4 linked regions of the Oryctolagus cuniculus genome follow. The protein of the gene in region 1 binds, or shares a complex with, the protein of each later gene. Links are inferred from orthologs where the notes say so. Each region holds a gene or a part of one and is shown in the gene's direction. Other genes may lie near its edges.

The links.
Region 2: TERT (region 1) and DKC1 share a complex: the UniProt entries of both Homo sapiens proteins name them as parts of the telomerase holoenzyme complex. The link is inferred for Oryctolagus cuniculus from reciprocal best matches to the Homo sapiens genes TERT and DKC1.
Region 3: TERT (region 1) and NHP2 share a complex: the UniProt entries of both Homo sapiens proteins name them as parts of the telomerase holoenzyme complex. The link is inferred for Oryctolagus cuniculus from reciprocal best matches to the Homo sapiens genes TERT and NHP2.
Region 4: TERT (region 1) and WRAP53 share a complex: the UniProt entries of both Homo sapiens proteins name them as parts of the telomerase holoenzyme complex. The link is inferred for Oryctolagus cuniculus from reciprocal best matches to the Homo sapiens genes TERT and WRAP53.

What each region holds. Positions count from the first base shown.
Region 1 is NC_091445.1:97,019,221-97,026,453, forward strand, and holds part of TERT (telomerase reverse transcriptase), read left to right. Parts: intron 1-440; coding exon 441-554; intron 555-895; coding exon 896-967; intron 968-2,753; coding exon 2,754-2,942; intron 2,943-4,983; coding exon 4,984-5,110; intron 5,111-5,371; exon of another isoform or gene 5,372-5,418; coding exon 5,419-5,480; intron 5,481-6,706; coding exon 6,707-6,831; intron 6,832-7,122; coding exon 7,123-7,233. UniProt on the Homo sapiens protein: Telomerase is a ribonucleoprotein enzyme essential for the replication of chromosome termini in most eukaryotes. Active in progenitor and cancer cells. Inactive, or very low activity, in normal somatic cells.
Region 2 is NC_091453.1:133,382,779-133,390,011, forward strand, and holds part of DKC1 (H/ACA ribonucleoprotein complex subunit DKC1), read left to right. Parts: intron 1-291; coding exon 292-378; intron 379-2,181; coding exon 2,182-2,273; intron 2,274-2,430; coding exon 2,431-2,615; intron 2,616-3,049; coding exon 3,050-3,114; intron 3,115-3,439; coding exon 3,440-3,566; intron 3,567-3,747; coding exon 3,748-3,878; intron 3,879-3,974; exon of another isoform or gene 3,975-4,104; intron 4,105-4,333; coding exon 4,334-4,477; intron 4,478-5,675; coding exon 5,676-5,796; intron 5,797-6,747; coding exon 6,748-6,866; intron 6,867-7,233.
Region 3 is NC_091437.1:63,753,859-63,761,797, reverse strand, and holds NHP2 (H/ACA ribonucleoprotein complex subunit 2), read left to right. Parts: upstream 1-2,920; 5' UTR 2,921-3,006; coding exon 3,007-3,166; intron 3,167-3,239; coding exon 3,240-3,309; intron 3,310-5,571; coding exon 5,572-5,692; intron 5,693-6,198; coding exon 6,199-6,324; 3' UTR 6,325-6,564; downstream 6,565-7,939. Other genes in the region: E3 ubiquitin-protein transferase RMND5B, read right to left, coding at 7,585-7,648, 7,733-7,887. UniProt on the Homo sapiens protein: Required for ribosome biogenesis and telomere maintenance. Part of the H/ACA small nucleolar ribonucleoprotein (H/ACA snoRNP) complex, which catalyzes pseudouridylation of rRNA.
Region 4 is NC_091448.1:52,226,214-52,234,226, forward strand, and holds the start of WRAP53 (telomerase Cajal body protein 1), read left to right. Parts: upstream 1-1,916; 5' UTR 1,917-2,475; coding exon 2,476-3,131; intron 3,132-3,265; coding exon 3,266-3,364; intron 3,365-3,541; coding exon 3,542-3,653; intron 3,654-8,013. UniProt on the Homo sapiens protein: RNA chaperone that plays a key role in telomere maintenance and RNA localization to Cajal bodies. Specifically recognizes and binds the Cajal body box (CAB box) present in both small Cajal body RNAs (scaRNAs) and telomerase RNA template component (TERC).

The sequences.
Region 1 (7,233 bases):
TCCGTGCTGTCCAGGCGGCAGACGCGGCAGGCGCCCCTCTCTGTCCTGCGCCCCTCAGGTCCTACATGTAGTGCCGGGGCGTCCCGCAGGGCTCCGTGCTGTCCAGCCGGCAGCCTGGGGGCGGCAGACGCGGCAGGCACCCCTCTCTGTCCTGCGCCCTTCAGGTCCTACGTGCAGTGCCGGGGCATCCCGCAGGGCTCCATGCTGTCCAGCCGGCAGACGCGGCAGGCGCCCCTCTCTGTCCTGCGCCCTTCAGGTCCTACGTGCAGTGCCGGGGCGTCCCGCAGGGCTCCATGCTGTCCAGGCGGCAGACGCGGCAGGCACCCCTCTCTGTCCTGCGCCCCTCAGGTCCTACGTGCAGTGCCGGGGCGTCCCGCAGGGCTCCATGCTGTCCAGGCGGCAGACGCGGCAGGCGTCCCTCTCTGTCCTGTGCCCCTCAGGTCCTACGTGCAGTGCCGGGGCGTCCCGCAGGGCTCCATGCTGTCCACGCTGTTCTGCAGCCTGTGCTACGGAGACATGGAGAACAGGCTGTTCCCCGGCGTCCAGCAGGACGGGTGAGCGTGCCACGCGGCAGCCCAGCCGGTCCCGTGTGTGCACCGACAGGGGTGTGTGTGCGTGTGCGTGCGTGTAGCTGCTCCACGGGCGGGGCGAGATCAGGAGGGTGCCCTGCCTGGCTGTCCCCGTCCCCGGTCTGGCTCTCGGTCGCATCTCCTGGAGCAGGGCTCCGAGCCAGGCCTGGTTGTGAGGTTCTGCTGTCAGTGCCAAATCCCACCAGCCTGTGCAGCCAATACGGAGGCCCGGCGGGGGCAGGACGCAGGCGCAAGGTCCCGCTGTGCACGCCCTCCTGGCCCCTGCGCGGGTGCTGCGAGGGAACTAAAGTGAGCCCGTCCCCCAGGGTGCTCCTGCGTCTGGTCGACGACTTCCTCCTGGTTACACCGCACCTGGCCCAGGCAAAAGCCTTCCTCAGGTGAGGGCTCGCACCTGCCAGCCGGGGTGCTGTGGGGGCTGCCGAGCTGTGGGCACCAGGACACAGGTTCCCACGACACAGGAGCCTGCCACAGATACGCCACAGACACACCCCACACAGACACGCCCCACACAGACACACCCCACAGACACGCCCCACAGACACGCCCCACACAGACACACCCCACAGACACACCCCACACAGACACGCCCCACACAGACACGCCCCACACAGACACACCCCACAGACACACCCCACACAGACACGCCCCACACAGACACGCCCCACAGACACGCCCCACACAGACACACCCCACAGACACACCCCCACAGACACGCCCCACACAGACACGCCCCACACACACGCCCCCACAGACACACCCCACACAGACACACCCCCACAGACACGCCCCACACAGACACGCCCCACACAGACACGCCCCACACACACGCCCCACACAGACACACCCCACACAGACACGCCCCACACAGACACGCCCCATACAGACACACCCCACACAGACACGCCCCATACAGACACACCCCATACAGACACACCCCACAGACACACCCCCACAGACACACCCCACACAGACATGCCACAGACACGCCCCACACAGACACACCCCACACAGACACACCCCACACAGACACGCCCCATACAGACACACCCCACAGACACACCCCCACAGACACACCCCACACAGACATGCCACAGACACGCCCCACACAGACACACCCCACACAGACACGCCCCACACAGACACACCCCACAGACACGCCCCACACAGACACGCCCCACACAGACACGCCCCACAGACACACCCCCACAGACACACCCCACACAGACACACCCCACAGACACACCCCACACAGACACGCCCCACACAGACACGCCACACAGACACACCCCACACAGACACACCCCACACAGACATGCCACAGACACGCCCCACACAGACACACCCCACACAGACACGCCCCACACAGACACGCCCCACACAGACACACCCCATAAACACGCCCCACACAGACACACCCCACACAGACACACCCCACACAGACACGCCCCACACAGACACGCCCCACACAGACACACCCCACACAGACACACCCCATACAGACACGCCCCATACAGACACGCCCCATACAGACACACCCCACACAGACACACCCCACACAGACACACCCCACAGACACGCCCCACACAGACACGCCCCACACAGACACGCCACAGACACGCCCCACACAGACACACCCCACACAGACACACCCCACACAGACACCCCACACAGACACGTGCCACAGATGTGCACACCACAGGCACTGACAACACCACACCCTCCACACGCCCTCCACACAGACGCCCGTGCCCATCGCGTGGAGGTGAGGCCAGGACCAGCCGTGTGCGTGTTCTGAGGCTGCTCTGTGTGGAGCCACTACCGCTGTGGTTCCCGTGTCCCAGAGCTAAGGACCCCAGAGGGACAGTGCCGGGGCTTCCGAGGCCTGGGACCACCCACCCCCCCAGCCAGACCGCTCCTGCCAGCCGGGAGCTGGGCCCGCTCGAGGGGCTGCCCCGGGGGTCCCTTTGCTCCGGGGCCTCCTGGGAGGGTCTGAATGTCAGGGCGGGGAATGCAGGTGCGCGCCAGGGCGGTGGCCACGGGCCCCCAGGGAGCATGGGAGCTGGGTACAGCAGCCTCGGGCCCTGCTGGCCGGCCCAAGCCCGTCCCTGCACAGCTGCCGGCCGTGTCCAGCTCGTGTCTGCAGACGGACTCCTGCTGCTTCAGGGCCCTGGTCAGCGGCGTCCCCGAGTACGGCTGCCACATCAACCTGGAGAAGACGGTCGTGAACTTCCCTGTGGGGGACGTGGCCCCGGACGGCCCCGCCCCGCTCCAGCTGCCCGCCCACTGCCTGTTCCCCTGGTGCGGGCTGCTGTTCGACACACGCACCCTGGAGGTGTCCTGTGACTACTCCAGGTGAGGGCCGCGGGCCTGGGGGGGGGGGGGCGCCATGGAGCCTCAGCCGAGAGCTGGCCGCAGCGTGGCCACCGTGGCGTGGGAGGCTTGCCAGGCACATTTTCCCGGCGCTTTGGTGCAGGCTGTGGAGTGCAGGAGCAGCCTGGGCCCCCGGATCTCTGGCAGGACACGTGTGGTCTGGTAGCCGTCTTGGTGTGCCCACGCCAAGAGCTCACAGCCTGGCCTCAGGCTCGGCACAGCCACGAGTGACGTGAGGGGGAGTCAGTGTTTCCTTCTCCGTGTGTGGGCAGTGCCTGTTACTCTGCAGTTAACTGTCCGGGTCTGGACAGAGCCCCATTCCCAGAGTGCTCGCGGGGCACCTGCTGCGTGGGGGTGGGGCAGGCCCTGTCTGTCCCCCGCAACCCCGTGTCCTGTCCACCTGGGGTGCCCGGCTGCCCAGCCTGCCCTGGCTCTGGGTGGTTTGTCCTCGTCCTTGGGACTCAGATCGGATGGTCCAGGGCTTCTTGCCGTCCGCTGCACCGGCAGCCGTGTGGGCCCGCCCCCGCCACCACGCCCTCGCCCACGGACTCGGCTCCCTGGAGGACAGGCGCCCCCACTCCCTGCCTCCAGCGCTGCCGAGCTGTGGGTGACGCCGTCGGGAGACGTGCCCCTCGGGACACACTAGCAAAGCCAGGGAGCCTGTCGGCGGGCGTGGGGGAAGCAGGTGTGTACCGGTGCTGGGACAGCTGGGGCCCCGGCGCCCTGGGGCTGTCGTGGCCGCGTCAGGAGTGGCTCCAGAGCCGCTCCGGAGCTCTGCATCTGGGTGTCCGGCACACGTGGCCGAGGGCTTCAAGCCGCGGCCGGAAGGAGACCGAATAACTGTGGGGTGAAGGCAGGCCCGGCCAGATTTGGGGCCACCCCAGCCGCAGCCCCGGTGACGCAGTGGCGCACCGCGGAGGAGGCCGCCTCTGCCCAGCGAATGCGTTAACCCCGCGAGGAGCGGGTGAGGGGCACGAGGGGGTTCCTGTGGCTGCGGCGGGAGACGTGACCGACACCCGCTCGCCTCACAGACGTGCGGAGAAACGCTGGCACGGGAGTTCAGGGTGGGTGCAGGCGGGACACAACCCCAGGGGAGCAGCTGAGCATCAGCGGCCGCGAGGCAGAGGCCTCTCCCCGCACGCGGGTGCTGGGTGCCCACGCTCCTCCCACTCGGTTCTCGGGGTGCACCGGGCAGCAGGTGCTCAGTGGCGGCTCCCGGGGGTTCTGCCCAGGCTTGGAGCAAGCTGCAGACCACGGCGTTGGGCGCTCGGAGCTGGCCAGGCCCGGGAGGCCCGCACTGGAGACCCCGGTGCTTCCAAGGAGCCCTGGCCGACCGGCATGCTGGCGGTGTGACGGCGCAGCCCGCACAAGGGGCTTAGCGGCCACGCGGCCACAGGGAGACACCTGTTCTGGAACGTTGATGACACTGAAGTTCATTTCCGCCGCTGCCGTGTGGCTCGGGGTGGGGAGGCCTCTGCTTCCTGCCCCTGGGCGCTGCCTTCAGCCAGGGCCACTGAGGCGCGGGCCGAGGTGCTCTGTGCTGTGTCCAGGGACGAGACGTCGCCCACCGAGTGTCGGGCGTGGGGCCACCGTTGGCGTCCAGGCTCCCGGCTGTGTGGTTTGCCGGGCGCCTCCTTCCTGGTGAGGCCTGCCCGGGTCTCCCCAGGGCTCGTTCGTCTGTCGCTGATGAGCAAGCCCAAGTCCTGGGTGGACGTCACCCTGCAGGCCACGTCCCAGGCTCTGCGGGGACGGATTCTTGGAGCCAGGTGGGCAGGCATCTCCGTCAGCGACACCGGGCCAGGATGCGGACAGGATGGATTCTCGGAGCCACCCCGGGGCAGGGCGGGCAGGCGTCCCCGTCAGCCACACCCAGGGCCAGGATGGGGACAAGGATGGATTCTCGGAGCCACCCCGGGGCAGGGCGGGCAGGCGTCCCCATCAGCCACACCCAGGGCCAGGATGGGGACGGGTTCTCGGGGCCACACTCGGGCAGGGCTGGGTGTGCAGCGTGCCCTTGTGTCAGCTTTGCAGGGACGTCCGTCAGGGCCAGCCTCACCTTCAACCCCGGCGTCCAGGCCGGGAGGGGCCTGCGCCGCAAGCTCTTGGCGGTCCTGCGGCTGAAGTGTCATGGGTTGTTTCTGGACCTGCAGGTGAGCGGGCAGCGGCCGAGACCTGAGCGATCGGGTGTGGCTAGCGCGCACCAGGCACACGTGCCTGACGGTGTGTGCGTCCGTGTGAGGGGCAGGGGCACCTGTGTGAAGGGCACGTGGGCTTGTGGGTGTGCATGCGTGGGGCTGGTCACCGCCCTCCCTGGCCTCAGCACGCTCAGGGTGAGGCTCCCTGCTGGGCACCCCACCCCCCGCCTGGCCAGGGCTTGGCTGACTCCCCGGGGACGGTGGCTCCTTGCCCAGGGGCTCCCAGCGTGTGCCCATGACGCCCCGCTGCCCCGGCCACGCAGGTGAACAGCCTCCACACGGTCTACGTGAACCTGTACAAGATCCTCCTGCTGCAGGCCTACAGGTGAGTCCCTGGCTTCCGCCTCGGGCAACTCCACGCCCACCTGCGGGTGGGGACAGTGGCCCACGTCCTGGGGCAGGCAGTCGGGCTCAGAGGCGGCTGAGTTAGCAGCCGGCTGGGCAGGAGACACAGGGCGCGGTCGGGTACAGAGCGGAGGGTGGCAGTGGCTCCAAGCACGTTGCCAGCCTGGCGTCCACACACGGGCTCCTGCCCATGGCTGATGGTGCTTCTGGAACATTCCCTGTTCTTCGCTGATCCTGGGGACGGGGGGTGGACGGGCAGCTCCCCTGCAGGCCGTGTCCTCCGGGCTCGGGCGCTGTGCCCTTGGCCTGGCCGTGCCCGTGCCTCAGCCTCTGTGCCCCGGGGACTTGGCTCCTGAGGTTTCCAGGAAGCCGCTGCCCCCTGCAGCTCGGGCGGGAACTGACCTCCAGCGACCCTGTCTCCAGGGACACGCAGAAGCCGCTGGCTCTCAGCCTGCAGTCGGCAGGTGGTGGCCGTCACCTGCCACCCGCCCGGCCCCGGAAGCAGAGGTCCTCGCGGTGTACCTGGGACGGGGCCACACACACAGGGTCATTGTCCACAGGGATCGCCCACAGGTCACGAGTCAGCCACGGGAGCCGTTCTAGCCACAGGGCCTAAGCCCGCATTCAGGCCCCGAGGACTGCCACAGCCACATGTGGCTCCCTCCCCGTCCACGGGGCAGAAGGGCTGGTGGCTGCTGTGTCGGGAAGGGTCGGGCACACAATGTCCTGGGCACTTGGATCCCTGGAGGCAGGCGTGGGGAGAGGAGCTGGACTGTGACGTCGCGGGTGGGTGCATTCCACACGTGTCCACCTGTGTCCCAGCAGTGCCTGGGGTGCAGCTGACTCGAGCCCACAGGCTGAGTCCAGCAGGCCTGGCACGGGGTCCTGCGGGCAGAGGTCTCCCGTGGGCTCCCACGGAGCACCCTGACTTAGCCGACCACAGGGCCAAGGCCCCGTCCCCGCCCAGTGTGTCCCCCCTCAGGCGGCAGGGGGGCCCTCGGTGGTGTGGCTGGGAAAGGGCACTGGCCGAGTGGACAGCCTCGCCTTGTCCACAGCAGGCTGCGGTGGTCAGGGAGACCCTGTCGTGCGCGCGTGAGCACACGTGTGCCCCTGCGCGCACACAGGCGGACAAGCAGGCACCGGTCTGCACACGCACAGCACGCCCTGGTAGGGACCGCGTCCTCTGACGCCTGCGCCCTCCCCCAGGTTCCATGCGTGTGTGCTACGGCTTCCGTTTAACCAGCACGTTCGCAGGAACCCCTCCTTCTTCCTGCGGGTCATCTCGGACACCGCGTCCTGCTGCTACTCCATGCTGAGAGCCAAGAACCCAGGTGCCTGGGGCCAGGGCTGCGCTGCCGTGGGGTCGCGGGTAGGCGGTACGCTGTGGGGTCGCAGGTGGGCGGGCATGGTGCCATCGGGGATTGCGGGGTGCCTGCGGGGCTGGCGGGTGTGGATGCCCGGGAGCAAGTGCATCTGCCTCGCCCACACGTGTGCCTCGCCCGCACGTGTGCCTGCACTGCAGGGACCCCGGGCGAGTCAGGCCGCTGCTGAGGGCGCTTGGTCTCCTGGGGGGAAGGCAGGAGCTTGGGGTCTGGGGGTCACCAGCCGTGCTCTGCCCCCAGGGATGTCGCTGGGGGCCAAGGGCGCCTCGGGCCTGTTCCCTGCGGAAGCCGCGCGGTGGCTCTGCTATTGCGCGTTCGCACGCCGGCTGGGCCGGTACCGAGCCAGCTACA
Region 2 (7,233 bases), on another chromosome or scaffold:
GCATAGATTACTAAATGGTTTCAGCCAAATCAGCTGTTCTAGGTGAATTTCTCTTTTTTATCCCACCCACAGGCCCACCATTCCTCTTTTTCTTTAAATATTTGAACTCACGGAGTGGCATTTCACCCCTTCTAAGCTACTTGGTTTCTTCTCTTTGTTTCCATTGGAAGTTTCAGTACACAGGCGTGGAATGCTTTGTTTCTGTTTAAGTAACATGCACTCAATGTTAGTAATAGATTTGTTGAAAATCAGCTGACCAATCTAATAGGTTGTGTTTCTGAACTGTTGAAGGAAATACAACATGCTGAAGAATTTCTTATCAAACCTGAATCCAAAGTGGCTCAGTTGGACACTTCTCAGTGGCCCTTGTTGCTAAAGGTATGTGCATCAGGTGAATGCCTGGCTTTCACATTATTTCTAAGTATTAAACAGTTTATTAAGAATGCTTCCTGCTAGCATCCTTTACTTCAGGGAATGCCAGATGATTAAAGCAGTGTTCCTCAAAGTATCTCAAATGAAGGATGAGGTTATTGACTTTTCCCATTGTGCTGCACGCTAGTAGAATATAATTTCAGATATGTCATGGCAATTTTAAATTGCTATCAAAGTTTGTAAACAATTAGTTTTTAGTTTCTGCACTTGTAAGACAAATCTGTCTAATTGTGGGCTACACGTGGACTAGGACTGTTGTAGTGCTCAAGAGCGTGGTCCTTGAAGCTGCATCAATTTAAGCCAAACTGTATGTGACTTTGGACCACTCATGTAACTTTTCCTTTTTATTTTGTATTTATTTTTGAGTGAAAGAGAGAGAATATGAATCAGCCCTCCCCAAATGCCTTCAATAGCTTGGGCTGGGCCAAGCCAGTGCCAGGAGCCAGGAGTACAGTCTGGGTCTTTCCCAAGAGTCTGCAGGGACCTGAGTATTTGAGCCATCATCTTGCCTTCCCAGAGTGTGCATTAGCAGGAAGCTGGCTTGGAAGAGAGGAGCTCGGAGTCAAACCAAGCGCTCTGATGGTATGTGAGTGTCACAAGTGGCATATTAATTATGTGGCCAAATGCCCACCCCCAGTCATTTAACTTTTCAGGCTATTTTCTGTTCTTAGGAAAATGTACGCAATATGTTTAGCCACAATTCATGGCATTTAGCATGTCTTTTAGAAATTATTGGCTAATTAGTGGGCATTTGGTGTCCTGGTTAAGATGCCGCTTGGGACACTTGAATCTCATATCAAAAGTGCCTGATTTTGAGACCAGGCTCCACTTCTGATTCCAGCTTCCTGGTAATCTGCAGCCTTGGAGGCAGCTCAAACAGTGAATCCCTGCCAACCATGTAGGAGACCCAGATCTAGTCTCAGCTCCTGGCTTCAGTCTGGCCCAGCCTGGCTATTGTGAGATTTGGAGAGTGAACCAGCAGATATAAATAAGATCTCTTTCTGTTTGTCCTTCTGTCTTCCTCGCTCTTTATAAAAGTACATTTAAAATTTTTTCAAGAAAGTCTTGGCTATAATTTGAGCTTTTGAATAGGGTAGTTGAGTAATGAGTTGAATTGCAGTGTTTTTAGGCTTTTAGGCTAGGGTAAAAAGTTAGACATCCCTCAATCCTGTAGTTTTCATAAAGCTTTGTATGTGGGATGGTAAAGAATGATATTTGCTTGTATGCTTTAATATACTTGGGTGTCTGCTTAGCCAGATATTTCTGTCATTTAGCCAGCATATGCTTTTCTATTGTAGACCCTAGGGATCTGCTACTAAACAGGGTAGCCAAGCTCCTTGCTCTCATGAAACTTAAAATCCAGGGGTGGAAGATAGGTAAAAGAGGGTTTGTTTTTTATGAAACTAAACTGGTGATGAAAGTTGGGCTTGATCATCATTTTGGCTACTTTTGTCCCTCAGAAAATCAAAACTGTTGCATGTTTTATTCATAATCTTGCAGTGAAGCCAGTCTTCTTCATAGAGAATAATGAGTTCAACTTACCAATATTCTAGTTAGTGTGATTCTTACTAATTTGGGTGGTGTATAAGGAGCAGAACAGTTTCACAGCAGATACTGGAAATACAGTAGCAAAAATGCAAATTCAGGAATGTGAAATGTTAGCATATCATGGTTGATGATGGTGCTGGCTGTTACATGTGTAAATGGTTTATCATTAACACTATTTTGTATTGTATTGCTGCTTTCTAGAATTTTGACAAACTAAATGTCAGGACAACACATTATACACCTCTTCCTTGTGGCTCAAATCCTCTGAAGAGGGAGATTGGGGACTATATTAGGTAAGTGTGTTGGGAGCAAGCACTGTTGATAGAAACCTACAGTGGCTTTGTCTTGAATGTATAACCTGTTCGCGTGGTGAATTTTTTTAACTCTTCAGGTTTGTTGTTTTATTGCAGCATGAGAGCAAATGGTACATTAATTTTCTGTCCATTCTAGGACAGGTTTCATTAATCTTGACAAGCCCTCCAACCCCTCTTCCCATGAGGTGGTAGCCTGGATCCGACGAATCCTTCGGGTGGAGAAGACAGGACATAGCGGTACTCTGGATCCCAAGGTGACTGGCTGTTTAATCGTGTGCATAGAACGAGCCACTCGCTTGGTGAAATCACAGCAGAGTGCAGGTATGTGAAGACAGAAGGCAGGTTTACCTCCACATTTTGCCTCTTGGAAATTTTCTTCATTAAGGGGAAAAAACCTACCCTGAAGCATGGATATGCTTTTTGTTTCTGTGTACCTTCTGTCCTCTGCCAGATCTTGGTGGGTCTACATTTGGAGTTCATAGAGGCATGTGTTGATAAATTCCGTTCATGCCACTGAGGCAGAATTCTTTCCGAGTCCAACTCTTGTCTTGTTCCAGGTTCCTTTCACGTTATGTTTCTGTGAAATCTGCACCAAGACACTGAATAATGTTGAGCTCCCAATGTCGTCGTTCCATTCCTTTCCTTTCTTTTCAAAATGTCTGCTTTTCCTGCTGTGCAAGATGGCAGCTATGGAGCATATAACAAATACAGAAAACTGAGTGGCCACACCTGACTACTCTTTTGTCATTTTTCAGGCAAAGAGTATGTGGGAATTGTTCGGCTGCACAATGCTATTGAAGGGGGTACCCAGCTTTCTAGGGTAAGTCTCTCACTTTAGGGAAGGGAAGTTGGGTCTCAGCCCTTGAAGCCTTTGGAAACAGCCACCTTTCGTGGCTGACCATGCTCCTGCCCTTTTCAATGGGCTACCCCATCCAGCCACATCCCTTCTGAGGAGCTGCTTCCCATCAGCCCTGAGCCGTCCCAGGGGTTGAAGAACGAAGCAGAAATGGAAAGAAATGGCTTTTTAGTTATTTTGAAGAAAACCTTTTATGTTTTGTATCCTTAAGCTCCCCAAATATGCCCTCTCATCTTATTTAAGAGGCCATGTAGGGAGAGTGCTTGTTTCTATTTGTGCTTATTCTCAGGCCCTAGAAACTCTGACGGGTGCCCTCTTCCAGCGACCCCCACTTATTGCTGCAGTGAAGAGGCAGCTCCGAGTGAGGACCATCTATGAGAGCAAAATGATCGAATATGATCCGGAAAGAAGATTAGGTGGGTTGTTGGGTCTTTGAGGAACTGAGTTATCACAGGCCGCATTGGGTAGGAACTCATTCTGGAAGGTTCTACGGTAATCTTTGAAAATACTATGTGGTGAGGTCATATCATCTCTAGGCTTGATGACTTAGAAGCAGACTAACTCTGGAAAATACTCTGTATTGTGTTTATGTCTTAGGCATATTTTGGGTGAGTTGCGAGGCTGGCACCTACATTCGGACACTGTGTGTGCACCTTGGTTTGTTATTGGGAGTTGGCGGTCAGATGCAAGAACTTCGAAGAGTTCGTTCTGGAGTCATGAGTGAAAAGGTGTGTCTTCATGGAGCTAGAAGTTTTAGAGCTGGTTCTGGGTATCTTGCAGCCCCTGGTGGAACTCTGCCTACTTCACACCCTGGGAAAGGCCACTTCCAAAGTGTTGAGTTCAGTTCAGGGCATCTTCCCTGTTCTGTTAATTAAACTTTGGTACACTAAAAGGGGTTTGGAGATAGAACTGGATAGAAAGTATCACTATTCGTTTATCTCCCAGCCTACAGCAGTGCTTTCATAAAGTGAATCTATAAACAGTTACAGGTGTCCAGAAGGGAGGTGAGTATGAAGACGCTCAGGGTTCTTCATGAGCTTGCACTAGTGGAAGAGATGCATGGTATATGAGTGTCACAAGTGGTATCTTAATTATGTGGCCAAATGCCCGCTGCTGTTTGTGGACCTGTGAACTGTTGGAGATCTGAAGACACTGAGTTTTTTCCTATGTACCTGCTTTTCAGGACCACATGGTGACAATGCACGATGTGCTTGATGCTCAGTGGCTGTATGACAACCATAAGGACGAAAGCTACCTGCGCCGAGTTGTTTACCCTTTGGAAAAGCTGCTGACATCTCATAAACGGCTGGTTATGAAAGACAGTGCAGTAAGTTCTGCGATGGGAATGCGCATTTGAACAGAAACTGACTCCAAAGATAGGATATGGTCTTTTCTTCTTGGAAACTCTATGTGCCTAAGAAACCTTGACTGACTTAAATTGTTCTAAGACAAAGTTAGTTTAATGGGGAAAAGTTGAGATTAGAGAGATTCAGAGCTGTAACAAAGTTATTTATCCTGTAGAAGTTTGAATAAAATATTTTGTTAGTGTAAATAAAACATAGTTTGAGGCTGTGAAAGCGAAACTTCACTGAGGTTATCAACCTCTTTTTTTTTTTTTTTTTTTAAAGATTATTTTCACTCAGGTGGCTGTAATAGCCAGAGCTGAGGCAGATTAAGGCCAGCAGCCAGGACCTTCCTGCAAGTCTCCCATGAGTGCAGGGCCCCAAGCACTGAGGCCATCCTTCACTGCTTTGCCAGGTGCATTAGCAGGGATCTAAATGGGAAGTGGAGCAGCTGGGACTTGAAGCAGCGCCCATAAGAGATGTAGATGTTGTAGGCAGTGACTTTACCCACTATACTACAGTGCCAGCCCTACAAGTCCTTTTCTTAACATATTCACTAACTTGCCTTTTACTTGAGAGTATTCCTATTAGCAATGCAAGTAAATATTTTTCAGTTGGGGTTTCTTTTGTAGTGGTCATTTTAAGAATAAGTTTCTTACTTTCCAAGTAGTCCAGAATTTGTTAAGTATGATCAAAGAATGTAGTTTATAAATTTTGTTAAAGACTAGGCAGGCATGAAAATTCTCTAAGGAGAGAGTAGAATATGGGTAGCAAGAGATCTAGATGAGTGAAGATGGTATAGCATAAGGCAGATAGATTCCAAAGTGCTGTTGAACTGAAGAGGTGGGCTTCTACCCATTGGCCTATAAGTTTCATGTCTAAACCTTTGTGTGATAGAGAGGAGCAATTAAGGAAAGCTAAGACTGATGTGTGTGTGTGTGTGTTTATAAAAAAAAATAAACTTGTATGTCCCAATTGCATAATTAATTGGAGATCAGTGAGGAAGTAGTTACTCTTTCACAGCTAAAGGATCAGGGAAATGGGAGAAGTAGCTGTTAAATCTGTCTAATATTTTTGAGTCATGCATGAAAAGTGCTGAATTCTTCTGTGCCCTGTGGATGCGGTGTGGGATCAGGCTGCAAGGCAGCGGTGGAGTCCTCACATGTGACACCGTCTCTGCAGGTGAATGCCATCTGCTATGGGGCCAAGATCATGCTTCCAGGTGTTCTCCGATATGAGGATGGCATTGAAGTCAATCAGGAGATTGTGGTCATCACCACCAAAGGGGAAGCCATCTGCATGGGTAAGAAGGGATATACTGCCTTCATCAGTTCTGGTACCATTGCTGCTAGACTCACTGAGAATAGGTCCCCACATCCTGGTTCCTTAAAGTTGTTCTAATCATGGTGTTTTGGGGGTGAGGGGAGGGATTGGTCAGCCAGGTACTTGACTCTAGTGAGAATACAGAGAATCATTTGTGACAAGTGAGAAAAGATTGTTTATGGTAAGGCAAAAAGCCTTTTAGTCTACTGCTTGTCTGCTTCCACTTAACTTGTGGTTTGTATCAATGTTTACCTTGTGAAAGTTTAGTTACTATTATATTGTCCCTTAAGTCTTTAAATGCTTTGTGGCCCTCTTAATAAATCCTAAAATTTATTTGTGGCCCTTAAATAAATCCTATAACAGGTATAATTTGCATCAGAAATACAGCATGTGTCCAGAGCCACAAACCTGCCTGTGTATCTCTTTGGTTGGGTGTTAAGTGTTTCTTGTTAAGTTTTATGCCATCTCAAAGGCTTCCTTCCCATAATGGATGGAGGGTTTTCTCTGTATGCTCAGGATGAGCATAAGATTGTAGAGTTCACAGCCTTAAGGATTTTTAAGATTTATTTGTTTGTTTATTTATTTGAAAGCTAGACTTACAGAGAAAGAGAGATCTTTCACCCAACAGCTAAGGCAGGACCAGGAGCCAGGAGCGTCTTCAAGTCTCCCACACAGATGCAGAGGCCCAAACACTTGGGCCATCTTCCACTGCTTTTCCAGGCATGTTGCAGGGAGCTGGATTGGAAGTGGAGCAGTCAGCACTCGAACTGGTGCCCATATAGGATGCTGGCATCTCAAGCAGTTGCTTAACCTGCTGTGCTGCAATGCTGGTCCCTTAAATGGGGTTTAAAGTGGTATAAAATAGTAGGATTGGAGCTCATCCATTCTTTTCACTTCAAATCATTCTTTTCTCTCTCTCCAATTCATGTAGCTATTGCACTAATGACCACCGCAGTGATCTCTACATGTGACCATGGTATAGTAGCAAAGATCAAGAGAGTGATCATGGAGAGAGACACTTACCCTCGGAAGTGGGGTTTAGGCCCAAAGGTAAGGGGGACTGGGTGAAGTGCCCTGTTAGCTGGTTTTGCCTTGGGATTTGCATTGTTGATGAGCATAAATAGGCCCTGTATCAGACCTTAGGGAATGGTGCATTTTAGCCATGCTAGCAGCTGTTGAGTACAGAGGTGCCTGGTACCTCGAAACGCCACAATGACCCTGGTGTTGACCCTGGTGTGGAGGTCTGGGCAAGTCCTGTGTTTGTTCCTGTTGGAGGGAGTAGCTGAGTTGCAAATGCTCTGCAGAAGAGCGTGAGGTTTTGCTGAGGACACACAAGGGAGGAACCAGGTGCTGTTCTGTCCAAAGTGTGTTTAAGCCACCTGTGTGCAGTCACACTGCCTTCATAGATGCCATTCTA
Region 3 (7,939 bases), on another chromosome or scaffold:
GAGTAGAAGTTCTCTCTTTGTCTTTCAGATAAATTTTAAAAATAAAAAAAATTATAAAAGATTTATTTATTTGAATGGCAGAGTTACAGAGAGAGAGAAGGAGATACAGCGAGAGAGAGGTCTTCTATCCGCTGGGTCACTCCCCAAATGGCTGCAACAGTCAGGGGTGAGCCAGGAGCTTCTTCCGCTCTCCCATGTGCATGCAGGGGACCAAGGACCTGGGGCATCCTCACTGCTTTCCCAGGCCATAGCAGACCACCTCGCAAGGCCACCTCCACAAGGAGGAAGCCTCTCAGAACTGCCTCAGACTCCCATCTCCACAAGGTCTACATTCAGGGGTCCCGAGTGTCCCTTCTGCTTTGAAAAGTCCAGTCCTTCCCTTGAATTCCAGAAATCTGAGCCCTGGGTCACTGGCTAGGAAGCCCAAGGTCCTGAAGTCTCAGGTCAGAACTGCCTGGCGACACGGCCCCCCTAGGCCCAGCCCCCAGCCCCATCACTCCTGGGCCCCAGTGTCTAGCCCCTGATGGTGGTGAATGCGGTGTTATCTGGAAATTGGCCCAGGCAGATGTAATCCAGTTAACACAAGGTCATGAGGGTGGACCCTAATCCAGTACATCCGGTCTCCTTATAAGAGGAAAAAATCCCACAGGAACAGTCACTGGAGAGACCCCGTGAACCAGGATCACCTGCCAGCAACACGGGAGGCCAAGAAGGACCTGGTGCCTTCAGAGAGAGCACAGCCCTGCCAAGGCCCCGGCGCAGACCTCTGGCCTTCTAACTGTGAGACCACAGTTTCTGTTGTTATTTATCTTTATTTTTATTTTAAGATTTATTTAGGGGCCAGCACTGTGGAGCAGTGGGTTAAAGCCCTGGCCTGAAGCGCCTGCATCCCAAATGGGTGCCTGTTCAAGTCCTGGCTGCTCCACTTCCCATCCAGCTCTCTGCTATGGCCTGGGAAAGCAGTAGAAGATGGCCCAAGTCCTTGGGCCCCTGCACCTGCATGGGAAATCCAGAAGAAGCTCCTGGCTTCAGGTTGGCACAGCTCAGCCATTGTGGCTATCTGGGGAGTGAACCAGTGGATGGAAGACCTCTCTCTCTCTCCCTCTCTCTCTCTCCTCTCTCTCTTTCAAATAAATAAATAAATAAGTCTTTAAAAAAAACCTCCATTCTTAAAAAAGAATTAGATCCCTGGGGAGGAGGTTTGCGCCACTGCTCCTCTGCACTGCCCATCCAGCTTCCTGCCATGCACACGGGAATGCAGCGGGTGATGGCCCACGTGGGAGACCCAACAGAATTCCGGGCTCGGCCCTGGCTGTTGCAGTCATCTGAGGAGTGAAGCAGCAGACTGAAGATCTCTCTCTTTCTCTGTCACTCTGCCTTCCAAGTAAATGAAAATACACATTTTCTTAAAAATAAAAAATCAACTTGGGGACCAGCACTGTGGCACAATGGGTTAAGCTGCCGCCGGCAATGCAATCAACCCATATGGACACTGGTTTGAGTCCTGGCTGCTCCATTTCCCATCCAGCTCTCTGCTAATGCTCCCTGGGGAGACAGCAGATGGTGGCCCAAGTACCTGGGCCGCTGCCACCCAGATGGAGACCTGGATGGAGTTCCAAGCTCTTTTAGGCCATTCGGGAAGTGAACCAGTGGATGGAAGAAATTCCCTCTTTCCCCCTCTCTCTGTAACTCTGCCTTTCAAACTCTGCCTTTCAAATCAATAAAGAAATCTTTTTTTTTGGACAGGCAGAGTTAGTGAGAGAGAGAAAGGTCACCCCCCAAATGACCCCTATGGCCAGAGACGATCTGAAGCCAGGAGCCAGGTGCCTCCTCCTGGTCTCCCATGCGGGTGCAGGACCCAAGGACCTGGGCCATCCTCCACTGCCTTCCCCGGTCACAGCAGAGAGCTGGACTGGAAGAGGAGCAACCGAGACAGAATCTGGCGCCCCAACCAAGACTAGAACCCAGGGTGCCGGCGCCGCAGGCGGAGGATTAGCCAAGTGAGCCACGGCCAATATTCGCTGGTTCTACCACAAAAGGCAGGCCTGCCACCGCATAACGAGAGGCATTGATTCGCAGAAATTATCAAATTAATAACCACGCAGCCGTCCCAAACGGCGGAGGAGCCCAGTCGGAGACGCCGAGAGGCCCCGGAATCTGGGACTGTTAGGCCCCAGGCCGCCCGTCCGATCCGGTTAGCGACCCGGCGCGCCGGCCCACCCCACCTGGCCATCTCTGCCCAAGCCACGCCTAGCCTGGCCGGGCTCCCTACGGCGACCCTAGCGGGGTTAACTGGGACGACAGAGGGTTGGGGGACTACGGCGGGAGTGGGAGGGGCTGCAGCTTTAGATGAAGTCAGCAGGTGCAGCGGGCAGGCCCCGGGCGGGGGCAAGCCTGGAGGAAAGGGGCCCCTCGCGAACTGTTAAGGCGGGGTCCGGGGAAGAGAAAGCAAAGCTCGGGAGGCGAGGCAAGGGCAAGGCCGCTTCAGCGCGCGGGGCTGGACCTCCGCCTCCAGCAGCAGCTGGGCACGCCGCCCAGGCCCAGCCAGGCCCAGCTTTTCTATCACGCTGAGCACCGCACCGGCCAGTAGGCCAGGACCCCGCCCCCAGACACCAACACGCCCGCACAGGCACCACCTCCCGCCGTTCCCCAGGCCTGGGTGTCAGCGGCGCCCAGCCCCCACAGCAGCCGCAGCGGCCGGCCCGCCCCCTCTCTCCGGGCCCCGCCCCCTCTCTCCGGGCCCCGCCTCTCGGCCCAGGACCCGGAGGCAAGCCGCCCCTGCCGCGCTCAGCCCGCCGCTCGCTCCCGGGGCCCCGCCCCCGGCCGCTCAGGCGCGGCTGTAATACGCTGAGCGTCAGCGATTGGCTCGAGGGTCGGAGACATCGTGTCCTAATTGGACGCGCTGTACGGCGGCTTCCTGTGGGGCGGGGTGACTCGGCAACGGTTCCGGAAGCGGCCGACCACGCGGACAAGCTTCCCGGGGACTCCGCTGCGGCTGCTGCCGCCATGACCAAAATAAAGTCTGACCCCGACGGGCCCGAGGCCCAGGGAGAGGCGTGCGGCGGGGAGCGCACCTATCACGAGCTGCTGGTCAACCTGAACCCCATCGCGCAGCCCCTGGCTTCGCGCCGCCTCACGCGGAAGCTCTACAAGTGCATCAAGAAAGGTGGGGCCGGGGCCGGGCGGGCGTGGGCATGGAGGGGCGGGTGCACCGCTGCCGCTGACTTCTGGTGTTGCAGCCGTGAAGCAGAAGCAGATCCGGCGCGGGGTGAAGGAGGTTCAGAAGTTTGTCAACAAGGGCGAGAAAGGGTAAGAATCCCGCTTGCGCCGGACTTTGCAGGGAGCCGTGCTGCCTGGGGCGCCCCGTGAGAGGCTGGCTGGGTCGGGCTCCCGTCGGTGCAGACGCGCTCGGGGCGGGCGGACCCCGGCCTCGGTCATCCGGACGCCTGTCAGGAGAATCCGCTTCTCCAGGCACTGTGTTCTCTATGGGTCACCACACTCGCGGGTAACCGCAGCTGTGGAGGAGAGTGACCCCACTGCCCCGCTGCTTGGGGCGGGGACGGGCGGTAAGTCTCCCAGTCCCGCCGGAGTCAGCGCCACGAGAACACGGCCCGCACAGCTTTACCTCCAGAGGTGCCTGGCTCTGTGTAGGTGCTGGAGATAAACGTTGGGAGCTACCTTGTAAGCCATAGCTTAGTGTTTGTGCTCAGAGCTTGGGAGCCCACTGAAGGGTAAAGACAGGAAGTGACACGGTTATGGTTGCACCTTAACATGTGGGAGCAGGCGTGTAGCCTAGTGTTAGCCTAGAGTTGACATCCACGTCCCGTGGCCCACCTGGGTGGGATCCCCAGCCCCAGCTTCCTGCCAGGCCCTTCGGGAGAGGTGCTAGGGGGTGGGCTGCAGCCCTGGTGGTTGGGAGCCTGGATTGCATTCTGCCCCAAGCCTTACAGGCATCTGGGGGAGTAAACCAGATGAGAGCTGTCTCAAACAACTGTAAAAGATTTTTCTTGCAATTGAAAGGATCAGAGAGGCAAGAGTCAATCTGAGGAAGTGCAGGCAGGAGGTGGCTATAATCTAGGACAGGTCATGGTGAAATTGCAGTTAAAGTGGATGATGGGACTGGCGTTGTTCGGAACAGGTTAAGCCACGGCTTGCGGTGTGGACAACCCATATAGGAGTGCCAGTTTGAGTCCTGGCTACTTCTCTTCTGCTCTAGCTCCCTGCCAGTGTGCCTGGGAAAGCAGCAGAGGATGGCCCAAGAGCTTGGGCCGCTGCCACCCATGTGGGAGACCCAGATGGAGTTCCTGGCTCCTGACTTCAGCCTGGCTCCAGCCCCATTGTGGCCATCTGGGGAGTGAACCAGCAGATACAAGATCTCTGTCTCTCCCTCTCTGCCTTTCAAAGAAATCAATCATGTATATATACACATATATACATATATATGAAAGTAGATGGATCCAAGTGGACTTTCAGAAGGACCAAGAAGTATAAATGGTTTCTAGATTCTGGCATGCCCTGCCCAGGGTGCAGGGCTTGTTTTCTGAGACGTCTGTGTGGGGAGATTACTTTGAAGAAGTGTGACCTCCTGAACTGTCAGTCGGGCAGATGGCTATATGGGTTTGGGGCTTGGAAGAGAGGGGGACAGGTTGGGGAGAACGGGTCTGGGAGCTGTAGCACACTGGCGGCACGTGTCATCGTGGCTGCGGGTGCATCTGGAAGGATGTAGGGAGAGGGCAGCCAAGGCCCAGGCTGAGGGACACCAGCTTAAAGGCTGCTGACAGGCCCCAGGAGAGGAGAAGCAGCACTCCCAGCTGCCCTTGCCCAGAGCCCCGTGAGCTTGCTAGCTGGGGACCCTAGCTGAGGACTCTGGTGTTCTTTTTGGGACACAGCTTGTTTCTTAGCAAGGCCCTTGGGTGTGTCACTTATTTGAGAGTTACAGAGAGAGGGAGAGACAGAGAGAGATCTTCCATCTGCTGGTTCACTCCCCAAATGTCTGCAAAGGCTGGAGCTGTGCCGATCTGAAGTCAGGAGCCGAGAGCTTCTTCCAGGTCTCCAACTGTGGGTGCAGTGGCCCAAGCACTTGGGCCATATTCTACTGCTTTTCCAGGCCATCAGCAGGGAGCTGGATCAGAAGTGGAGCAGGTGGGACTCAAACTGGTGCCCATATGAGATGCCAGCACTGCAGGCGGAGGCTTAGCCCACTACGCCATAGCACCAGCTTCCCCAGACAGCATCTTAACACTGTGCCAAATGTCCACCCAAGCTTTTACTGACTCTGAGAAAAGCTGAGCTTATTCTTTGGTGCCCCTCAAACCTCATTTGTCTCAGTACTGTACCCCTTATCACACTTGGTGGCATTTACATTTTGTTAAGAAGTGGAGATCACCTCCCTGGACAAATACTATTTGCCAAATACAAGTTTGCACCCTTCCAGAGGCTGGCAGACTCACATAGTAACCCCTTGAGCAGGGGAGGTGGGGGGATGGACATCTTACTCTGTGCACCCCCAGAGCCCAGCCCAGAATTTGGCCTGTAACTTGACGGGGTAGGGACAGCTGGAAACCACAGCAGATTCTCTCATTTCAGGATCATGGTTCTGGCAGGAGACACACTGCCCATTGAAGTATACTGCCACCTCCCAGTTATGTGTGAGGACCGGAATCTGCCCTACGTCTACATCCCCTCGAAGACGGTAAGAAGCACAGCCCTTCGGGAGAGGTGCTGGGGGTGAGCCAAGCAGGACACAGTGGGAAGCAGGACTGCGGATTCTTGGTACCACTGCTGCCAAGCTGTGGCACTGCAGACGGCGACTCAGTTTCTGTCTTATAAAATGAGGAGCCCCTCCTGTGGACTGTGAGAAAGAATGCGGATGTACATGGACCTGTGTGAGTCCTGTTATGTGGGTTCCTGCTCAGAGGGGCTGTTTCAGGGGGATGCTCCCAGGAACAGCCCCTGCTGGGCTGCAGCCCTTTCATGGTGGCCTTGTGGGGATGTAGGCCCAGTGTGGCTGGACCACAGCTTGAATACTTACTGGAGTTTAAATGATGGCAACCAATTCAAAATAACTTTTAAGTGTGACATAGACAGACCCAGTGGAACAGACTGTGGGCCAGATCAAGCTGCTGAGTCATCACGTGTGACTCCCTGCACATAGCTTCTGTGGCCTCTCCCCCAGACAGCCTTTCTTTCCTCCTCTAGGATCTGGGTGCAGCTGCGGGCTCCAAGCGCCCCACCTGTGTGATTATGGTTAAGCCTCACGAGGAATACCAGGAGGCCTACGATGAGTGCCTGGAGGAGGTGCAGGCCCTGCCCTCACCCCACTGAAGGACTTAGGCAGCAACCTGGGTACCTGCCTGGCTGGTAGCTGCCCAGCCTACCCTCCTCTGCCCATGTTCACAGTGTCTGCCCTGGTTCCCCGAGGAACATAGTCTTCCCAGGCAGCTCCACCAGCTGTTTATCATGAAAGTAGAGCCGGCGCCTTCTCCATCAGAGCTGTTTCCTGTTGAGCTTAAATGAAGACAGTTCCAAGAGTGTGGGCTGAGCAAGTAAATGCTAAGGCTACAATGTGGTGAGTCTGTGGGTGTTGTTTTAAGCAGCAGCTGCTGGTGGGGCCAGGCAGTTGGCGGGCAAGAAAAAGAGGAAGCGGACTTCTCACCAGAGTCTGCAGCGCTAACGCTGAGCCGCCCAGCACCCAGGGCTTTCACCACTGACTTCCTGGGAAATGGGGGCTGTGTACTGAGGTAGCAGAGCCCAGAACCCGCCTCACAGGAGCCTGCGGCCTCTGTCGGGCACCCCCATTCCTCTTCTTAGTGCCACTCTGAAGCTATGGAAGCAATTTACCCACCCACACACTAAAAAATAGAAAGAAGCGAGAGGCCATCCTCCTGCTGAACATGTTGGCTCTGATGAACCAATCCCTTCTAGCACTTTAGACTTAAGTTCCTTCTCTATGTCAAAGGCTCCACTGGACTTGGTACACATGTGTCTGTAAAGGCCCCTTGCCGAGGGGCTGAGAGCATCCAAGTCCCCTTCAGTGAAGATGCCTGGGCTCTGGCTGCGCCCCACACCACGCCCACTAGCTGTTTGTAGTAGACCCAGCAATTCCTTGTTGGCAAAGCTAAAGGCTGGCAGAAGGAAGGAGGGCTGTGAGTATATTTGGTCAAAGTTATAAAACAATTACATTAAGTTCTAACTTGAGTATGTACAGTGGGAAATGGATACATACAGTTGAGGCTGGACAGCAGGAAGTTGGCCACAGCTGGACACCCCTAGGCTGAGGAGCTGGAGTGGCACAGGCTTGGCTTGTCACGGCAGAGGGCAGGGGTGGAAAGATGTCTGCAGCAGCGCCCCGTCCTTTGCTTCTCTGTCAGCAGCTGCTAAGTCAAAGGCATCCGAACAGCAGGAGTAGAGCCCAGCATCTTCCTTTCCTTGCTCCATGTGGGTGGGTTCCTCCTTCAGCTACCCTGCTAGTGCTCCTCAACCAGGTGACGTGAACCACAGCCCACTGAAAGCCAGCTCGCCCAACCCAGAGCCCAAGGCTCCCGGGTGAAAAGCTGCTTCCAGCAAAGTTCTTCCAGGCAGGAGTCAGAATATGATGCGTTTCCCGTCTGCTGGGTTTTGCTCCATGGGACAGTAGGGACACTTCAGCCTGCAGAGGGGGTAGAACCAGAAACATCTTAAGGCTGGCCAGCAGGACAGCCAGGCCAAGCAGGGGGCGGCACAGGGGACTTACTTTCCTCCATTAATGAGCTTGTTGAGGGCATCTCGGGAGATGACGTGGCCACAGATGAGCTTGATGGGCGGGTTGGAATCCGAAGTCTGCTGGCGGAGGATGGGGCAGGCAAATACCGAGTGGTACCAGCACTTCATGCCCAATTCAATCTCGATCTAGGGAGGCCAGCAGAGAGGTGAGTCCCACTCCCTGTCCTGGCTGCCCTCA
Region 4 (8,013 bases), on another chromosome or scaffold:
TCTAGGTGGTTAGAGAAACCGCCGCTTTGAGAATAGCTTCAAAAAGCTGTCTTTCCGCGCACAAAAGTTTATATTTACCCACATTAGTGCACTGCAAAGGCAAATCAAGTGGATATTCCGTCTTTTGTGCCCTGAAAAGATCTTTTCACATTCAAACGATGGCGGGGGTCTGACAGCCCGCCCCGCGGAGCCCACCAGGGCCGGTTCCCGGGGAGACGCCATCCGCCGCCTCCCGCAAGGCCATTTCCACCTTGCCTTGCCTATCTCCCGTTCATCTCACAGGCTGAAATTACGCCAGGCGCCGAGGGGAAGAGAAGCACTTAAGCTTCCGCGAAGGACAGTTTAGAAAAGCGACAGGCACATCGGGCCACGGTGCCCAGGGCCTGGGACACACCGGGGCACCGCCACGCCCCGCGCGGTGCAGCAGCAGGGCACACGGACCCCGCCGGCCCCGCCGCCGCCCGCGGGCAGGACCCCGCCGGCCCGCCCCTTCCGCTTTTACGACGTCCGGACTGCGTTTGGAATTGGTATGGCTTAGCCCAAAACCGGATACTAGAGAAGCTGTTTCCCCTACACAGACGAATGGCCTGTCATTGCACACTTCCAGAATTCGATTCCCCAGCGGACCCATTTCCGAAAATACTTGGTTTTGCCATCTGTAACGTGTTCGCCTCCCCCCCCGTCCCACAGAATGGTAGCGTCCACCTAGGCTGCGAGGGGGGCAGGGTGGAGCGCACCATTCAGAGGCGGGGGGAGGGACGGAGGTGTGCATCAAAACAAATCCTCCCTTCTTAGCAAAAGCAGGAGCCAAGTCATCCAGAGGGCAGAAAAGGTGGGAAATGATAGACACCTCTCCCGCAAGGAACAGAAATCAGCCTGAAAGACACTAGTTTCTCTCTCCCCCCACCCCCCGCATAGGGGGAACCGTGAGCCGCTCCGCAAAAAAGAAACCGGAAATGCTCCTGCAAGTGGCAGAAATGTAAATGTGGAGCCAAACAATAACAGGGCTGCCGAGCCTCTCAGGCCGGGACGGTCTCCCCGGCTGCCTTGAGCAAACCCTCTGCTCGGCGCGTCCCACGGCCGCCCGGCTTTGATCGGAGTTTCTCCATCCGGCGGAGCCGGCGGCCGGCTGCGATGACCACTTCGGGGAGACAAAGGTCCGGAAGTCCCGAGACCCGAGCGCTCTCTTCGGAACGGAGCCCGAGGTTTCCCTCCGCTGCCCTGGACCTTACCATCTCGGGCCTAGAGGTCCGAGTCTCGCGATGTGGAAACCTCAGCCCCCAAGGCTTAGTGCATGTTATTTCGGGGGCGAAGTAAACCTGGGGCTGGCTCAGGTCCCCCCGAAAGCCCCACTCCCCTGCCCAGCGTTCGCACCCAGGCCTCCCGACGCGGCACTCCTCTGTTCCTCCCGCCAGCCGGCCTCTCGCTCCCACCGAGCCCCCGTCCACCCCCACTGCCCCACCCCCAGCTGCGCCCCTAGATGAAAATGCAAGGTGCCCAGAGCCAAATCCCTTAGAGGGGACGCATCAGTCCCAGTCAAGGCCTTACCCAGTCCTCAGGAGAGCGTGTCACGGCCCCGGGCGGCACGCTCCGGCCACGGACGCCAGGTGCCCCCGCAGCCCAGCGGCTACCTGCTTCCCGGACGGTGGCCCCGGACTTTTGAGGCGCTCAAAACTTTTAGCGCCAGTCCGAGCACATGGGAGGGGAAAACCCCAATCCCATCAGCCCCCGCGAGGCTCCTGGACGGTCGCCATGACAAGTAAGGGCAAGTCATTCGCCTGCCGGCGTGAGGCGAAGGAAATGGAGGGTGTGTGTGTGGAGAGAGTCAGGGTTCTTGCAGCCTCGGTGCTGTAGCGGCTAACATTTTGTCGCGGCGAAGTTCTGCAGGCCAGGGCTGTGAGGGCAGAATTGGCGGAAACCATTTTGAATATAAAGGGTGGAAGGAAGAAAGCTCTTGTCTTCGCCGCTTCCCTCTTGTCCGCAACACTGCCCTGATAGCTAGTTTCTTCTCATCAGCTCAACCGTAACCTTCTAGAAGGGCTTTCCTTAACGTCCCAGTCTAACGCGTCCCCCAAGTACTTCATATCACACCATCTTGTTTAGTTTCCCTCACAACCGTTCTCACTATCTGCAGATCTAGTCACCCTTTCCCACACAGCAATGCAACCTTCTGAGGACAGAGAACCTGTCTATTGTCATCGTTGTGTTCCCCAGTGGCTCGTGCAGTGCAGGGTGGCAAGAGCTTGATAATACATATTTACTGAATGAATGGAGAGAGACAGAGGGCTGAGGAATTGGCGAATGGGATGCAGAAGAGGTGTAAAAGCTGCAAGGTCAGGCGCCCTCTGCAGGCTGAGGCGGGTAGGCGCTTTGAGAATTGTCGTGGGAGACGGTAGGGGGCGCTCTGGTACTTCTCGCCAAGGCGGACGCGTTCAGACTACAACTCCCAGCAGCCACGAGGAGCCGTAGGGCTTTATGGGAATTGTAAGTCTTAAACCTGTAAGGCCCCCGCCTCGCCCCGACGTGGTTCGCCCGCGAAATCCGCTCCGGGGTGCGGAGGTCCAATCGGGACGAAGGTGGGCCCAAGTCCCGCGAGAGCCAGTGGCGTGTAGCTACCACGGTGCTGAGAGACGCCGGCTCTCAGTGCTGTTCTCGCCTCCCGCTCCCGGAGGAGGCAGGAAGGCGCGGGTGGGCTCCTCCAGGTCTGCGTCGCGGTTCCCGGGAGCTTCGGAGCCGTCCTGGCCGCCCGGCCGAGGCCAATGCCTGCCGCACTGCTTCTGCAGTATGAAGGCGTCGGAGGCTCAGCCCTCAGCTCCGGGGGACCAGGCCCCCGCTGCAGCCGGTCAGTCTCCGCGGGCTTCCTCGGTGGATAAAACTCCGGATCCCGAACCGATGCCGCCGGCGCCCGAAGGCAGCGATCGGCCCCGGGCGTCCCCGGGTGCGGTGCCTGGCTCAGGGTTCCCCCAGGAGCTGGGCGCAGGAGACCCAGATTCTCTGTCCGCTCTGCAAGCCGAGTTCGATACCGAGCTGGGTCCGCCGGTGCAGGAGCAAGAACTTGGCGAAGAGGCGAGCCTCGCTGCAGAAGCCGCGGACGGGGCGGCCGCGGAAGGCCTGTCGGAGGAGGGAGACACGTAAGTGGTGGCGGCGGCTGGCCGTGGCCTCCGAGGCGAGTGCAGGTGTGAGCAGGACCTTGACCGCCGGCCCCCAGGCCCGTCTGCCCGTGGCTCAGCGCCCCAGGTTTGTTGTTCCTCCGTCTTCCTTCCAGCCTTTGGAACTACAGCTTCTCCCAGCTGCCCCGATTTCTCAGCGGCTCCTGGTCGGAGTTCTGCGCCCAACCCGAGAACTTTCTGAAAGGCTGTAAGTGGTGAGTAAGGGTAGCGGGGCCAGAGGTTTGCACCTTAAAGCAGCGTGGGAGAGGGGTGAGGCGCCCTTTTTAGGACCTAGGCCTTTGTGTCTTGCACCCCCAGAGGTCAGCTTAGCCCTAGCGCTCGGCTTGGGCCGCTTGGCTCTGGCCAGGATTCTAACCCTTTCCTATTTTTAGGGCTCCTGACGGTTCCTGCATCTTGACCAACAGTGCTGATAACATCCTGCGGATTTACAACCTGCCCCCGGAGCTGTACACTGGGGAGGAACAGGTGGAATATGCCGAAATGGTAAGGGGAGGGGCTTGGCAGGCACCTTCATGTAGCTGGAGAAAGTGTAGACCACGGCTTTCCTGTTCACACACTTGTCTTCCCTGTGAATTTACAGATCTACATATCTGTTTGAAAGGCAGAGTTATAGAGAGAGGGGGAGAGTGGGAGAGAGATCTTCCATCCACTGTTTCACTCCCCAGGTGGCCGCCAACAGCCATGGCTGGCCAATGCTGGGAGCCAGGAACTCTGCCTGGTCTCCCACATGGGTGGCAGGGGCCTAAGCACTGGGGCCATCTTCCGCTGCCTTCCCAGACGCATTGGCAGTGAGTTTGGATAGGAAGTGGAGCAGCGGGACTGGCATTCATATGGGATGCTGGTGTCACAGGTGGCAGCTTAACCCACTGTGTCACAATGCCGCCCCTATATGTAGCATTTTCTGTTTTGAATAGTGAAGTTATTCAAAAGGGTGTTTGTCCCTTCTTAGGTATAGGATGTGTTGTGTTTTTTTTTTTTTTTTTTTTTTTTTTTTTGACAGGCAGAGTGGACAGGGAGAGAGACAGAGAGACAGAGAAAGGTCTTCCTTTGCCGTTGGTTCACTTTCCAATGGCCGTCGCGGCCAGTGTGCTGCGGCCGGCGCACCGCGCTGATCCAAAGCCAGGAGCCAGGTGCTTCTCCTGGTCTCCCATGGGGTGCAGGGCCCAAGCACCTGGGCCATCCTCCACTGCACTCCCGGGCCACAGCAGAGAGCTGACCTGGAAGAGGGGCAACCGGGACAGAATCCGGCGCCCCGGCCAGGACTAGAACCCAGTGTGCCAGCGCCGCAAGGTGGAAGATTAGCCTGTTGAGCTGTGGCGCTGGCCAGGTATAGGATGTGTTTGTCCGAAAAAAAAAAAAGGTAGTAGATTTCTCGGAGCAGTATGTATGTATCCAAATGTTTACTGAATGACTGCCAATACAGTAGGCATTGTTTTTGGTGCTGGGGTAACGTGGCGATTGATATAGACAAGAGCTGTTTGCTTTCTTGTGTGGGAAATGGATAACACACAGGTTAACCGATAAGATCAGTACAAATGACAATGAGTGCCTGTACAGTTATTATGTACTAAAAGAATATATATAACATCCTTGTGGAATATTAAAACATGAACAAGTCGCTGGCAGGCCAATGAAATAATTTTTTTTCCACACAAAATTTGTTCTCGAATTGGCTGTGAAGGAAATAGAAGGCGAGATGAGCTAGTGTTTCAGAGGAAGTGGGCAGGAAAGGACATGATGAGCCTTGGGCCAGCCTTGGAGAGAGCCTTCCAGGAAGAGGCAGGGAGATCAGGGAGGCCAGAGCCGGGAAGAAATTCCGTGTTTGGAGAACAGAAAGAATGCCCGTGGGGCTGGGCTGCAGCCAGTGAGGGGGAGGTAGGTGAGGGCAAGGGGTGCCCCCAGCTGCGGCCTGTGGGATCTCCTGATGCGGCCTTTGGAGATGACTTGGGAAGCCACGGAAGAGCTTTGGAATGGAAGAGTGGAGAGACTGAGGGTGGGCCAGAGTGAAATTGGCTCCCAGGTGAGAGGTGGGTGATGTCAGGAGGGGCGTGGGTGGGTTTGGGGTGTCTTTTGTAGGACTGGGAGATCCGTTGGGCATGGAGGTGCAGGGAAGGAAGCAGTCGAAGGTGGCGTCCAGGGTTTGCAGCAAGTTTGGAGGGGGGGCCCAGTGTACGCCAAGGAGGAAACTGGGACAGGAGCAGGCAATGGGACAAATCGGGGGTTTCTAAGTACACTAACTGAAATGTGGGGCTACGGGGAGAAGGGGGCTGGGGCTGTAACTCGAGAAATGGGAGGGTGTGTCCATGGCATCTCATGGCTGGACAAGTGGGTTCAGTCCTGGGAGTGTGGACCCAGGAGGAGAAGGCCCCAGCGGAGCCCTGAGTGCTGCAGTGTGTGGAGGGGGTGCAGGAGAAGTGACAAAGGCGGAGGCCGAGACGCACGACTGGCGCTGCCGAGAGACCGGAGCTGGGTCTGGAGAAGGCCCGAGAGCACGTCAGGACCGCCCTGGAGATGCGGTGGAGGCAGAGCCGAGCAGGGCGGGGGGGATAAAGAGCGTGGACAACTCTTCGTGGTGGTGCTTTGAAAGGGATCCTAGAAATGGATTGGTGACCAGAGGGAATGTGGGCTTTTAGGGTACATCTGTGATGTCAGGAACAACCAAGCAGACAGGGAGGCCTTGGTGCTGCAGGAGAGAGCACGGGGAGAGCAGAGCTCCCCAGTGGTGGCCCGAGGAAGGCAGGGTCTGGATCACGCTGGAGAACTTGGCCTTGAGAGGCAGAGTCCGGCCTCACGGCAGCGAGAGGTTGGAAGGTTTGTGTCTGCCTCGGCAGAAAAGGAGAGCCACGGAGGAATGTTCTCTGCTCAGCGCCTCTCAGAGTTGCTGTCATTTTTTTTTTTTTTTTTAAGATTCATTTTATTTATTCGAAAGAGTTAGAGAGGTAGAGACAGAGAGAGAGGTCTTACATCTGCTGGTTCACTCTCCAGATGGCTGCAACGGCCGGAGCTACATCAATCTGAAGCCAGGAGCCAGAGCTTCTTCCACATCTCCCATGTGGGTGCAGGGGCCCAAGGACTGGGCCATCTTCTACTGCTTTCCCAGGCCGTAGCAGAGAGCTGGATAGGAAGAGGAGCAGCTGGGACTCGAACCAATGCCCATATGGGATTCCGGCACCTCAGGCCAGGGCTTTAACCCGCTATGCCACAGCACCAGCCCCAAGAGTTGCCATCATTTAAAGCAACACTAGTGACAGGCATTTGTCACCGCAGTGAGAAGCCACAGCGTGGGGCTCCTGCATCCATCGGGTGTGCCTTGTTTGAGCTCTGGCGACTCCACTTCTGGTTTAGCTTCCTGCTGATGTGTGTCTTGGGAGGCAGCAGGTGGTGCCTCAAGCACTTGGTCCTTGCAGGTGGAGGTCTATGCTCTGGCTTTGGCCTGGCCCCAGCTATTGGGAGTATTTGGGGAGTGAACCAGCAGACAGATGATCTCTCTCTCTCTATTTTTCTGCCTTTCAAAGAAAATAATACATAAAAATTTTGAAAAGTGAGACTACTATAGTTGTACATCTTTTCCAGTGAGTTAAATGACTGGAGTTTTTCAGTTTGTAAAACAAGGATGATTAATAGAACTGAGAGAATTTAACAGGGGGCCAGTGTTGTGATGCAGTGGGTTAAGCTGTGACTTGTGACGCCAGCATCTGTACTGGAGCAGGGTGTCTTGGCGGACTAGAGAGAGATTGTGAATGTTCCCGGAATAGCAGAGCGAGCGAGCTGCGTGGGCCAGAGGTGATCCTCCGAGGCTGCAATGGCGGTGCACTGCCGCCGGGATGAGTGGGAAGAGGAGGCTGATGTGGACCCAAGGCGGCGGCTGTGGGGGCCAAGGAGATCAAGGCACAGAGAGGCCAGCGTTGGGCAGATCCATCCATCCTTTTTTCTTTTTTAAAGATTCATTTATTTATTTGAAAGAGTTACACAGAGAGAGAAGGAGAGACAGAGAGTCTTCCATCTGCTGGTTCACTCCCTAGTTGGCCGCAATGGCCAGAGCTGTGCCGATCTGAAGCCAGGAGCCTCTTCCAGGTCTCCCACACGGGTGCAGGGGCCCAAGGACTTGGGCCATCCTCTACTGCTTTCCCAGGCCATAGCAGAGAGCTGGATCGGAAGTGGAGCAGCCGGGACTCGAACCTGCATCCATATGGGATGTGGGCACTGCAGCTGGCAGCTTTACCCGCTACACCACAGCACCGGCCCCCCATTCATTCTTCTGCTGATTCATTCATTCAGCGCATTTTTGTGGAGCATGTTCTGGGTACCAGGCTTTGCCCCCGGGCCTTGGGGATTAGTCAGATGCAAGCCTGGCACGAATCCTCGTCCTTATGAAGCTTCTATTCCAGCGTGGGTGACAGGCGGTGAGGAGGTAACCAGGTAAACTGCACGTGTGATGAGGGCAGCGGGGAGGGCTGGCAGTGAGGAGGTAACCAGGTAAACTGCACGTGTGATGAGGGCAGCGGGGAGGGCTGGCGGTGAGGAGGTAACCAGGCAAACTGCACGTGTGATGAGGGCGGCGGGGAGGGCTGGCGGTGAGGAGGTAACCAGGCAAACTGCACGTGTGATGAGGGCAGCGGGGAGGGCTGGCGGTGAGGAGGTAACCAGGTAAACTGCACGTGTGATGAGTGCAGCGGGGAGGGCTGGCGGTGAGGAGGTAACCAGGCAAACTGCACGTGTGATGAGTGCAGCGGGGAGGGCTGGCGGTGAGGAGGTAACCAGGTAAACTGCACGTGTGATGAGGGCAGCGGGGAGGGCTGGCGGTGAGGAGGTAACCAGGCAAACTGCACGTGTGATGAGGGCA